Linked DNA regions of Arabidopsis thaliana. The protein of the gene in region 2 interacts with the protein of the main gene of each other region in a pairwise test. Each region holds a gene or a part of one and is shown on either strand. Other genes may lie near its edges.

Region 1 (4,247 bases), on a different chromosome or scaffold from region 2:
TTTGATCGGAAATAAAAAGGTGAACAAAGTTTCTCCAGATCCAAGTTTTTCCAGATGTGATTTGATCTAAAGGTGTTGGCCTTTTGTAGCAAAAACTTGCAAAAACAGAGGGTTCTCTCTGTTTCGATGCTTTTTCCTTCAAATGGAAAACAAACCATTAATAGTACTCTTCTTATTCAAAAATAATTCGTTAAGCGGACCAAGGTATCGCTAAGGCCCAAACAAAAAACAAGAAATGGGCCTTAAGTTTGGTTCAATCTATATCGTGTAAATGACATTATCGTCCTTAAACAAAAGAACCACAGTAAAGAGTCGAGAAGGGTATATTAGAGAAAGAAGGACTTGTGACATCTCAATTCTTGAACAAGAAACTTGAAACTTGAAAGAAGAATGAGATAGTGTTAAGTGGCAGAGTTCCAAGTATCTTAGTATTATTCTCCTCCTATGCCAATGCTTTTCTTATGATCACATAGAGAGTAATAACATTCTTTTTACATGAACTCGCAGGTTTTAAACAGCCCTGATGTGTGAACCATTCATAATGATTTCTCCCAAAATCTATAGCTCTAGTATACATTATTATTGTAAGACTGTGTTGATCGTCTTTTGCACTTCATGTTTCAGACAAACAAACAAAATCAAGAAGTGTATAGAAAGCATCAACATCGATTATGTTCCGAGAAAACCAATAAGATTCATAAAACCAAGTACTCTACTCATATAAAAACTCTCAAGTAAAAATAGATAATGTCTTGGAGTTAACGCATAAAGCCTTATCAAGAGATCATCCTCTTATAACATGGACCTTGATTTCTCGAACAAGACCATCCATCTCCTTTTCTAACTCACAAATCACCTTGTCATTCAACTTCACATTATTCCTTCTGATTATACTACGGAATCCCTTGATTGTTTGACCCTTAACTTTCCTCTTCAATTTACCAAAGTTTTTCTCGAGTGGATCAATCAAATTGATGAACTCAGGGAAGTGTAAGCCATACTTCGTTATGACCTTAGTTGGTATGCGCAGCTGCATTACAAAGATAACATCATAAAACAGAAGTGGTACATTATTTTAATGAAAATGCAAAAAGACATGAGACTTTCTTCACATTTCTTACCATATTATATTTTATTTGCCGATGCTGGTTCACTGTAAAGAAAGGGTTCATGTGATTATCCAGATATTGTCTGTCATGCTCTCCAGAAGAACCTATCAAAATTTATACGCAAGAAAATAAAAAGACAGTGATGCTCTCAGTCTCAGTTAACTTCACAAGACAAAAGTTTCTATTATACCTTTCTTTTTTTTCTCTGTTTTGACTCCTCTCCATCTTTCTTTCTCAACATCAGCATGATCATCGTCACCATAATCTTGATCATCATCATCATCATCATCATCAATAACTATGATATCTTCACTAGATGTATCTTCCTCAACATAATCTTGAACATCATTAATATCATCATTATCAGCATCATCAAGAGCTGTAATATCTTCACTAGATGTATCTTCCTCATTATAATCTTGAACATCACTAATATCATCATCATCAAGAACTATGAAATTTTCACTAGATTTAACTTCTTCCCCATAATCTTGATCATCATTAAAACCATCATCATTGTCATCAAGAACCGTGATTTGCACTGAACTTCTAAGCCTTTTACACGTTGCACGACCATAGATACAGAAATTGAAACACCAAGAGCCATCAAACTCAAATTCTAAGAACTCTCCACCTTTCAAATCTTCGTCCTTGACTATCTTCTTCCACCCATTAACCATAACAAATCTCTCACTATCACCACAAAACTTCCTAAACGCCACTTTCCAGATGTTTCCATAAATGCTTCTAACAATTACATTTTTAGGCAACGACTTTGGTAAAAAGCTGTTGAAAGAGATGGGTAATTCCTGAAGAGGAAGGATCTAAAAGTTTCAATAAACTAAAAATCTACATATAACCAAAAACAGAGAGAGAAGTGTATTTTTACCAAATCATCTCCGGAATCATCAGGTAAGTACACTTTGAAGAACTTTGGAAGACAATCATCCACAGAAATTCCTGTTCCAAAGCAAGAAAAAAATCAGAACATAGGATAGGTTATGTGATTGGAGAATCAAGAACAAACAATAGCATAAAGATCTTAACATAAAAACAAGAGTCTAAAGAAGAAACCTCTGTTCATCATCTTCACCTCTTTGAAACCCTAACTCTTTTAGTGAAAGTGAAGGTGAAAATGGTTCTTGAAAATAGAAAAGTAAAAGAGCTTTGTTAATAGATCTCCGATCTTTTGGTTTGCTTTAGAGATTTTGCCTTTTGTAGCATAACACAGAGACTGTATTGTCTTCTAGGCTTATTGCTACAAATGGAAAAATAAAACATGTGCTAACTACTTTTACTTCAATGCTCCATGAACCGAACCGATATGATTTTAATCAAACCGAAAAAATATTATCCTAACCAAACCAAACCAATAAAGGGTGAACGAGAATTTAAAATTCAAATAAATGGGCTTTAAAGTCCGGCCCAATCGATTTGCTTTAAATGACAATAATAACCTGAGATTATAGAGAACGTTGGTCCGATCTTCTTTCAATTTCAAGTTTTTCAACCTCTTCCCGCTTACGAGGCCGGGATATTCTATCAACAGTCGTCTCTTCCATCGGCCGAACAATTTCCGATTTACCGACTAGGATTTTCGCCTACAACTTCCGAAGAGATTTTCTCAGTGTAAGTTTGAAAAAACCTAGCTATAGGATTCCGGATTTCCTAATCGTCAGATCTTGGGCTCGAAAGAGAAGCTAGAAATGGATAAGGATCTCTTAGATATCTCTGGAGAAGACGACGAAGATAATTGGCTTCTGAAGAATACGCCGAAGAAAACTAATTCGAGCCGAGGAAAGAGTTATTTGAAATGCTCACCTCTCCAAATCCCTAGATCTAGTCGTATCGTTCCTACTCGGCCTCCTTTTTCCCCAATTGGTAAGCGCTTCAATTTCTCGTTCTCGATCCGAGCTTCGTTCTGATAATTTCTCTCTCCCTTTGTTAGAGTGTTTAAGCATCTGAATTAGCATTGTTTAAATCTTAATTTGATAAAATAGCAAATTAGTATAAATGTTGTGTATTCTGCGGATATATGAAGGTTAATACTTTTTGCAGGAAGAGTAACAGGCACCAGCAACAACAGGGAGCAGCCATGCGCTTCAGTTGATACAGATAGTGTAGGAAAGGAGAATGCTAAAGTTGAATTGCCCAAATTGAGTGTGGAGCGACAACAGATGAAGAAGAAGAAAAAGAATGCAGGGTTTAATTTGCGCAAGAGTTTAGCATGGGATAGAGCTTTTTCAACGGAAGAAGGTGACTTTTTTTTACCAATTTCCTGTTAGTAGTAAAGGTCAAAGATTTGGTCTATGTTACTAAGAATCTTAAGATGTGTGATATGGTCATGAACCAGGTGTTTTGGATTCATCTGAGTTATCTAAAATAACTGGAACTGCTTGCCATCTTGGTGGAGATCGGTTAGCTGCCATTCAGGAAGAGTACAGAGAGTCAATGTCAGCTTCCAAATGTAATGTTTCACCAGGACTACAAGCACTTGAAGAAAACTTATTTAACGACTTGCCTGTGAATAGTAAAAACAGAGAGAAGAAGCTTGTCAGTGGCATAATGCCCAAGTACGGATCACCATCTAAATCCCAATCTTCCTCGGTGAGTTTACTGGACCTAAATATTGTGGAGCTAATGAGGGTCATAAGTCGTTTCTTTCCTTGCGTAAATATATATATTTTGAGGCGCAGTCTATCTAAATGTCGAATATCTGCATTATAGGCCCAGAAAAAAGTTATCTCAGCTCAGGATTTAAGGAGTGGTTCCAAGCGCAGTGGCTGTCCCCGGCCTCCTCCTTCATCTTCATATCCTTTTCTTACTTTGAGTACTGAGTGTATAGGCAATCTTGATATCCTTTGCAGGTCTTGTTTGTGTTCTTTTTGCTTGTTTACCTTAACCATCTTGCACCCTGAAAAGACCTGCAAATGTGCATACAACAACATCACGTTGCAGGGAGCTGAGCATATCTAAAGTTCCTACTACCAAATCTGACCCAGTTACAGTTGGAAACAACATGAAAAGGACTACTCAAAGTCCAATCAAAGCGAAAAACAGTCAACCTACTCAATTAAGTATGTTCACTTCAGTTAGCAAATAAAAACTATTCATCTCATATCCTTTTTAGTTCTGTTA
Region 2 (3,860 bases):
ACTTCATGCACAAGTCAACTGTTGTTTAAATAACATAAATCTTAGTTATAAATATTAAATAAAAAATAAAATACATAAATGGTGTCTTGGTAACAGGAACACTACATAAACATGTCAACTGATTTTAAATAACAAAATCTTAAAATAAATATTAAAATAAAAATGATAATACATGAATAGTGTCTTGGTAATAGGAGGAATACATAGAAAGATACACTGATTTTAAATAATAAAATATGAAATAAAAATACATAAATGATGTATTGGTAACATAAGCACTACATGCACATGTCAACTGATTTTAAATAACAAAAATGTTATGTTAAAACAAAAATAAAAATACATGAATGATGTCTTGGTAAGAGAAGGACTGCATGCATAGATCAACTGTTTTTAAATAACAGAAATCTTAACTCTAAATATTAAAACAAAAAGGAAAATACAGAAATAATGTCTTGATAATAGGAGCACTATATGCAAAGGTAAACATGTATTTTTTCTGCTTCCCTCCCATTCAAAGCCTTAATCAATGAAGTTTTGGCTAAAAGAATGATCTTTGACCGATGGAGTATTGTGTCGCTTGATGTGATCTTTTTACATTAGAATTGTGGTCATTTGTCTCAGGGAAAAGAGGAGCTATACAATATAACAAGAGGTCCTTCTTGAGGTGGTGAAGATCATAAAGAAGCACGGTTACGTTCCTTTTGTAATATTCCTTGGATCTCGAAATCGAGTACAAGTTCCTATCATGCTAATGGCGGAGATGGATGAAGGCATTTTACATTGTAATCTGTTCATTTAATTTGGATTGCTTTCATTGTTTCATTTGTTTGACATACATAGACACTAATAGTTGAGGATTATGTATTTACAACAATAAAGTGTTCCACTACACAAGGTACAATCGATATATATATAGTGTTAACTCTCATTTGTGTATATATGCATATCAGTTTGTAGGTGTTACTATGATAGTAGTACATTTATTAATTTATAAAAATTTATACGTAAAATACAATATTAATTTTTTAAAAAGAAAAATTTTAATTTAGTTTTTCTTTATGTTTTATTGTTTGTATATTCTGTTAGATTTTTTTTTATTACTTTTTTTATTTTTTCTCTGTAAGATATTGTGCATGTATACGACGTTAACGTGAGACTTAATCCAATTTTTTATTACACAAATCTTAACAATGATTTTTCATATAAAAAAAGTTACAAAACCAAATATGACGGATCAAATACGCAAAGAGTTATGTGAATACAAAAGAGATCACACCAACTATACTCTAGAAAGAGTTGCAATTATGACTTGAACAAAAGTTTCATATAAAATTAGTCTTTGAATGTATGCTAAAGATTTATGATTATTAATTTTATGATATTACTGGTACCATATTTTTACATAGGGATTTCAAAAAAAATATTATCTTATTATCTTATCGATTTTGGTTAATTTTTACATTACCCCGATTTGAGACCGACAAAATTTATTAATTTATCGTGTAATATGTTTTGTTCAAATACCTTTTAATATCTATTTAATAATAAAAAAATATTCAATCAGAAATGGATAATATATAATATAATTATTTACTTAAAATATATCAGCAATGAATCTTAAAATGTAGAAAAAACTAAATTTTAATTTATTATATAAAAAAGGTAGATAAAATATTTTATACTATTAAGTGACTAAAATGATAGATTTTTGCAAGAGCAAAATTGTACTATTGATGAATATTAAACAGTAGAAAAAAAGATGAAAGTGTTTGTTTTGTTATGAATGTTGAGAAAAGTATGGCCAAGTGTTACTCATCCTATTTTGCTTTTCTTTTTCTCTCGGGTTTCACTTTTTAAAGGTCGTGAAGATTGGGAATCACTGCTCTGCATGCGCCCTAGAATCAGCAAGTCTAAAGCAAGCAATAAGCATGGTGACTCCGAAGCAGATCGATTTCTCTTCCTGTGTTGGTGCTGATAACTCCAACGGTACCCTCTCCCATCGAAGATCTCCACGGAATATTCCTTCCTCAAAGCGTGCTGCTTCCGTCGCAGAAGAAGAGACTATGAAGAAGAAGATGAAGATGAAGAAGAAGAAGAAGAAATTGGATCCGCCGTTGATCGTCCGGATCTGGAACGAGGAAGATGAGCTCTCTATCTTAAAGGTATTGTATTGATCTTCTCCATTTATAGTTTGATTTGGTTTTGCATTGTGATTTTCTAAAACCAGATTTTCGAAATTGCTCAGGGGTTAGTTGATTACAGAGCTAAGACAGGATTCAATCCCAAAATTGATTGGGATGCGTTTTGTAGTTTCCTCGGAAGTTCTATCGTTGAGAGATTCTCCAAGGATCAGGTTTTGAGTAAAATCAGGAAGTTGAAAAGGAGGTTTCATGTTCACTCGGAGAAAATCAATCAAGGGAATGATCCCAAATTTACTAGGTCTAGTGATTCTGAAGCCTTTGGGTTTTCTTCGATGATTTGGGGACAAGGTGATGATGATGGTATGGATAAGGAGCACGAGGTAAACGGAAATGGTGCAGCGGAAAACCGGACTAACGAGAGCGGGGAGGAGATGTTGAAGGAGCACGAGGAGGAAGTGGCTAATACTGAACTTTTAAATGAGAATGGGGCAGCCAAAACAACAGAGAATGGGACTAGTAGTGGAAAAGAGAGACATGATGAGGACAATGATGATGATGATGAGTTATGCGCGGTGCAGGATGCATTTGAGGCGGTGATGTCGCAAGGTTTAAGTGGTTATCAAAAGAAGTTGCAGCTTGAGAAGCTGATGAACCTTGGAAATGGTAAAAGAAGAGAGTTGAGTGATGAATGGAAAGCGTTATGTGTTGAGGAAACAAGATTCAATATCAAGAAGCTTAGATTTTCCGCCAAGCTTGCAGAGGCAGCTAATGATAGTTAGATGAAACCAATATGCCCTTGTAGCATTTGGTGTTGTTTAGGTTCTTAGTAAGTCATAAGCTCTAGTCTGTTCAGTGTATTTATCTTTGGATCCTGTCTTTCTTCTACTTGGGCAAGTGTTTGTAAGATATTCCACTTTTTACTCAAGTATCCACAAGAGCCAATGTAGTAGAGTGGCTTGTGCAAGAGTCTAGAGTCTAGGGTTAATAATGTGCTTTAAGGCATGCTTGTGTGTGTGCCTAAGAGTGTAGTGAAGTAGTATAAGTAAGAGTGTGTGTGTGTCTTGTAATATTATCCAAGATATTAACAATGTAGAAGATTAAAAGAAAAATGGTTTTTGTTCTTACTCTCTAAGACAATGAAACCTTAAGAGTTATATCTTACCAAATAAAAGAGTCAAACATTGATTCATTTCAATATAGAGTTTCATTTGATTTCTAGCTTCACCTTGGAGCAGAACTTAAGGACGCAACTTGTTTCTTCTTCCCAAATCAGTTCCAACATGATGGATTCGTTTGCCTTCACATCGTTAGCTTGGATGAATCCTTGCCATCCTCCTACCATTCGTAGTCTTTTTCTTTTGTCGTCCTCGAACCGCAGAGTCGTTAACCACTTCACACCATGTTTATCCAACAGAGTCATTTTAGTTTCTTCATTGATACCATTCATCCTCGTGAAAGGAACCGGAAGACGCTGAAACATAGATTCACACAAAAGATTCTCATTCTATAGACTGTTAAAAGACAATGGCTTGGAATGATGAAACGTACCAGTAGAGAACTTTGGATTGTATAAGGTGTTAGAGTTAATGTCACAAATCGGTTTTCGGATAGTAAAGACTTTCTTCTTGAGATTTTCTCGTCGTGGATACTCTCTTCATCGCTTTCTTGCTCTGTCGAAAGAGAGACTACTTCATTAGCTTCTTCTGGCTCGTTGGG
Region 3 (4,572 bases), on a different chromosome or scaffold from region 2:
TTCAGTCCCTAATCCTGAGGTGAGGATTTCATTTTTACAATCTCATTGGTGGCTATATGCATTGTCTCACTATGGTTTCACTGGTTTTGCAGGTAGATTTGATCGCACCTGCAGTGGATGGTACGCTGAATGTGCTTAAGGCATGCGTTGAAGCAAAAGTTAAGCGTGTTGTGTATGTTTCCTCTGTATCTGCAGTTGCTATGAACCCTATGTGGTCAAAGAGTCAAGTGTTAGATGAGACCGCTTGGTCTGACCAAGATTATTGCAAAAAAACTGAGGTTAATAATGCATCTTGAATCCCTCATCTCACTTTTTTTTCTTCTTTTAAATCTGACTTTCGTCCCTCTGGCAGAATTGGTATTCTTTGTCAAAGACACGAGCAGAAAGTGAAGCTTTCGAATTTGCAAAACGAACCGGACTTGATCTCGTCAGTGTTTGCCCTACCCTTGTCTTGGGACCTGTATTGCAGCAGCACACAGTAAATGCTAGTAGCCTTGTTCTTCTCAAGCTTCTTAAAGGTATTATAAACAAGCCTCTCATTTCATCTGGGATTGTTAGAAGCAGCAACTTGGTATATGAGTTGGTATTGATTTTATACTTAAGTGTGGTGCAGAGGGTTATGAATCGCGTAATAACCAAGAACGGCATTTGGTAGATGTGCGTGATGTGGCTCAAGCTTTACTTTTGGTTTATGAGAAAGCAGAAGCTGAAGGAAGGTACATCTGCATAGGCCACACGGTTAGGGAACAAGAAGTCGCTGAGAAGCTGAAAAGTCTTTATCTAAATTACAACTACCCAAAGAGGTAAGCAAACAACAGCTGCACATCTCTCTACCCAATTTGAGTGAAAACCTTTAAACCTTAATAAGCTGTTTTTGTTACTTTCATCAGTAAACAGTGTCACTTACCTTTACATCAATGTCTCTGAAGTTTCTTTTAGACCTTACCTTTGATCTAAATTCTACTTATCCAATATCAGATACATCGAAGCGGATGGAAAAGTGAAGGTGAGTTCAGAGAAGTTGCAGAAGTTGGGTTGGACTTACCGGCCGTTGGAGGAAACACTTGTGGATTCTGTTGAGAGCTACCGCAAAGCTAAGCTTGTGGACTGAAAACTGGGAACGAATAGCATATGAGTGTTTTGGGTCCATGTGTTAAGTGTTCCTATCTGCACACGCTCTTTCATCTTTTACTCAAGAATAAGAGTTGTGCAACATATTTTCCATCATGAACTTCTGAGTTTTTGTTACTTTCTTAGACACCATTACTTTTATGACCAATCTACAATTACTCCTTCCATAACTATGTTCCAATATCTCTTTGATACGTTCCAATTTCTACCTACTTACAAAGGATAACTTCACCATTAATACATGAAATCAGTAACGCACAACTTCACCATTCGAATTAACCTCTAAGCCTAGCGTAGCAGATGCACTACATCTTGGCTGACCATGGGACTAAAAAAACATTCGCAATATTTAACAACTAAAGCCAGGTTAATGGACCTGTATTAGGGCCCAAACCAGGCCCGTTTAGATATCCGACTTTTTTTTTAACTTTGCCCATCTCGATAGCTAGATTCTCTTTTCCCTCTTCCTTCTCCGGCGAAGTTGCGTTAGTTAAACAGAGAGTCATGGCCATGAAAGCTCCCGATCCCGGCGGATCTGGGGAAATTCTCCCGAGCACTCCCTCTCTTTCCGAAACTACGTCTGGAGGCGCCGCAGCAGCTTCTAAGTCGGCTCAATTGCCGTCTTCTTCTTCCGATATCGATAATATTCACGTACCTAGCTACTCCAGTAAGTCTGCAACGCCGAGAAAACTTTGATTTATTCTACTTTCTTCACTGTTTCTTACGGATTTTGTACTTGTACCGTCTATTTAACCAATTAGGTTGGTTTTCATGGACCGACATTAACGATTGCGAGGTCCGGTCACTGCCGGAATTTTTCGATTCGAGATCTTCATCCAAAAACCCTAAGTTTTATCTCTACTTGAGGAACTCGATTATTAAGCAGTACAGAGACGACCATCCTCGGAAGATTAGTTTCACTGACGTTCGGAGAACTCTCGTCAGTGATGTTGTCTCTATTCGTCGCGTCTTTGATTTCCTCGATTCATGGGGACTTATCAACTATAATAGCTCCGCCTCTGCTAAGCCGCTCAAGTGGGAAGAAAAAGAGGCCGGAAAATCCGCCGGAGATGCTGCTTCTGAGCCAGCCACAACTGTCAAAGAAACTGCCAAGAGAAACTGCAATGGCTGCAAAGCAATTTGCAGCATAGCTTGTTTCGCCTGTGATAAGGTTTGATTTCATAATTTGTAGCCATAGTAATAATTTCATTCACTGAGTTTGTCACTTAGAATGATTATGTACATTTTTGTTTTCAGTATGACTTGACATTGTGTGCGAGGTGCTATGTTCGTAGTAATTATCGTGTTGGTATTAACTCCTCGGAGTTTAAACGAGTTGAGATTAGTGAGGAGTCAAAGCCAGAGTGGTCTGATAAGGAAATTCTGCTGCTGCTGGAAGCTGTTATGCACTATGGAGATGATTGGAAGAAGGTTGCATCGCATGTTATTGGTAGAACGGAGAAGGATTGTGTTTCTCAGTTTGTCAAGCTTCCGTTTGGGGAACAGTTTGTAAAAGAGTCTGACTCTGAGGATGGTTTAGAGATGTTTGATCAGATCAAGGACTCTGATATTCCTGAATCTGAAGGAATAGATAAAGACGGTTCTTCTCCCAACAAGCGGATCAAATTAACACCTCTTGCAGATGCAAGCAACCCAATAATGGCTCAGGTTAGAAAGACACTACAATTTGAGTAGTTGCGTTCTCTCTCTATGTTAATCTTATTTGTATAAGTCTTCAACATGCGTGGAAATGCTTTTACATTGTTAGGCTACTGAAGAATAGTCCAGTGTCTGCACTAGGCTGTTCCACGACTTGCGTTTTTGTCTCCTTAAAGAACCTAAATCTAGAATACCTTGTGGGGCTTACTTTGAAATCTAGTAATAACAAACCCTAGTTGACATATATAAGGCATTTAAGAATCAAATATGTGTTAGATAATTCTGTACTGTGTTATCACACCTCAATTGTTATGCTTCATTGGCTGTCTCTGAATAAGATTTATCCTATCATGTCCTCTTCAGGCTGCTTTTCTTTCAGCTTTGGCTGGCACAAATGTTGCAGAAGCAGCAGCTCGAGCGGCAGTGAGAGCTTTATCTGATGTAGACTACGAGGCTGACAAAAACGCCAGTAGAGACCCAAATCGACAAGGTATCAAAGACCAAGCTGTCTCTATTTGCAGTCCATTTCTGTCCTAAGCCAAACCCAATAGTGACAGTTTTGTTTTCCTGATACACAGATGCCAATGCTGCATCGAGTGGTGAAACCACTAGAAACGAATCTGAAAGAGCTTGGGCAGATGCAAAGTCTTTAATTGAGAAGGAAGAGCATGAGGTAGAAGGAGCAATCAAAGAGACTGTTGAAGTTGAGGTTAGTAACAATCTGCAACTTTCCATAGACTTTTTATTATATGGTTATACTCAATGATGATTTATGTTGGAACAAACAAAATTTGGGATTAACAGATGAAGAAGATCCGAGATAGGATTGTTCATTTCGAGAAATTGGATTTGGAAATGGAGAGAAGCCGGAAACAATTGGAGGAGGTGAGGAATCTGCTTTTCGTTGATCAATTAAACATTTTCTTCCACACCAGAAAAGCCCGGAAAACTGAAGATAGAATAGAGTGTTAGAACGCACTTAATTTGAAACTGTTATTTCTTATTTGATTCTTGTCTGGTTAAGAAGATGACTTGTATTGTAGTGTACTTGAGATGTGTTGGTAACAAAATGAGATGAGATCGAATTGGTATAAATAAGGCTGGGTTGGTATAAAAGTCAAAACCAAATGGCAACTGCGTCGAAGTATAATTTTTGTCTTTATCAGGCAATCACAAGTGGAAAAGTTTTAAAAATTAATTTTGCTCTTTTGGAAACAATAGAAAATGTCAGGGTTTTGGAGATATCCGATATAAAAGATAGATTTTGTTTTCACTAAATAGGTTAATCTTCAAATGTTGTTAAGTTACCGATGTTTTTTTTGTATCTCCGTAACATGATTACTCTCTTTGTTGCTAAAAGAGTGATGGTTTTTATATTAAGAAACAGTCATTAATTAATCATTTCTGTATTGTTTGTTATATTAAACATTTTCAATAACTATAAACCAATAGCAGTCTAACAAATTTCAATCATTTTATCTTGAACTTTACTAGTTCAGGTTTTTCAGACAAACTAAAAAAACATTGAATTTTCTGTTTTATCTCTAATTAATGTGTTATTTAATATCATATCATCAATTAATCAGCCAAAACAATAAGAATTTCTTTTGGAAAATCTTTCAAAAACATGCATTGAAAATATAAAACGATAACTAATTTAATACAAAATTTAATTTCTAAAACATAACTAATTTAGAAAGGAGTGAGTGATATTTAAAAAAAATAAAGAAAAAACGAAAATGTTTTTTTTGTGGGACAAGTTAAAAGTGGTAGAACATCAAT

Evidence for each region. Proteins that work in one complex are often made in the same cells at the same time.
Region 1: the proteins of AT4G00270 (region 2) and AT5G60142 interact in binary tests that used the Arabidopsis thaliana proteins (3 or more experiments, as listed by UniProt).
Region 3: the proteins of AT4G00270 (region 2) and SWI3B interact in binary tests that used the Arabidopsis thaliana proteins (3 or more experiments, as listed by UniProt).

Annotation. Positions count from the first base shown.
Region 1 is NC_003076.8:24,215,396-24,219,642, forward strand, and holds AT5G60142 (AP2/B3-like transcriptional factor family protein), read right to left. Parts: upstream 2,355-4,247; 5' UTR 2,197-2,354; coding exon 2,184-2,196; intron 2,070-2,183; coding exon 1,999-2,069; intron 1,958-1,998; exon of another isoform or gene 1,919-1,957; coding exon 1,300-1,918; coding exon of another isoform or gene 1,274-1,299; exon of another isoform or gene 1,214-1,273; coding exon 1,122-1,213; intron 1,031-1,121; coding exon 785-1,030; 3' UTR 552-784; downstream 1-551. Other genes in the region: AT5G60150 (uncharacterized protein), read left to right, coding at 2,816-2,990, 3,168-3,365, 3,463-3,716, 3,837-3,919, 4,023-4,186.
Region 2 is NC_003075.7:116,540-120,399, reverse strand, and holds AT4G00270 (DNA-binding storekeeper protein-related transcriptional regulator), read left to right. Parts: upstream 1-1,756; 5' UTR 1,757-1,931; coding exon 1,932-2,165; intron 2,166-2,248; coding exon 2,249-2,923; 3' UTR 2,924-3,315; downstream 3,316-3,860. Other genes in the region: MEE45 (Transcriptional factor B3 family protein), read right to left, coding at 3,349-3,648, 3,693-3,860. UniProt on the Arabidopsis thaliana protein: DNA-binding protein, which specifically recognizes the GL1 enhancer sequence. May be involved in leaf initiation. May play redundant roles with GPL1 and GPL2 in cytokinin responses by regulating the transcript levels of type-A ARR response genes.
Region 3 is NC_003071.7:14,227,388-14,231,959, forward strand, and holds SWI3B (switch subunit 3), read left to right. Parts: upstream 1-1,584; 5' UTR 1,585-1,635; coding exon 1,636-1,798; intron 1,799-1,892; coding exon 1,893-2,302; intron 2,303-2,388; coding exon 2,389-2,799; intron 2,800-3,153; coding exon 3,154-3,280; intron 3,281-3,368; coding exon 3,369-3,499; intron 3,500-3,594; coding exon 3,595-3,762; 3' UTR 3,763-4,021; downstream 4,022-4,572. Other genes in the region: CRL2 (NAD(P)-binding Rossmann-fold superfamily protein), read left to right, coding at 1-19, 93-278, 353-518, 614-803, 979-1,111. UniProt on the Arabidopsis thaliana protein: Component of a multiprotein complex equivalent of the SWI/SNF complex, an ATP-dependent chromatin-remodeling complex, which is required for the positive and negative regulation of gene expression of a large number of genes.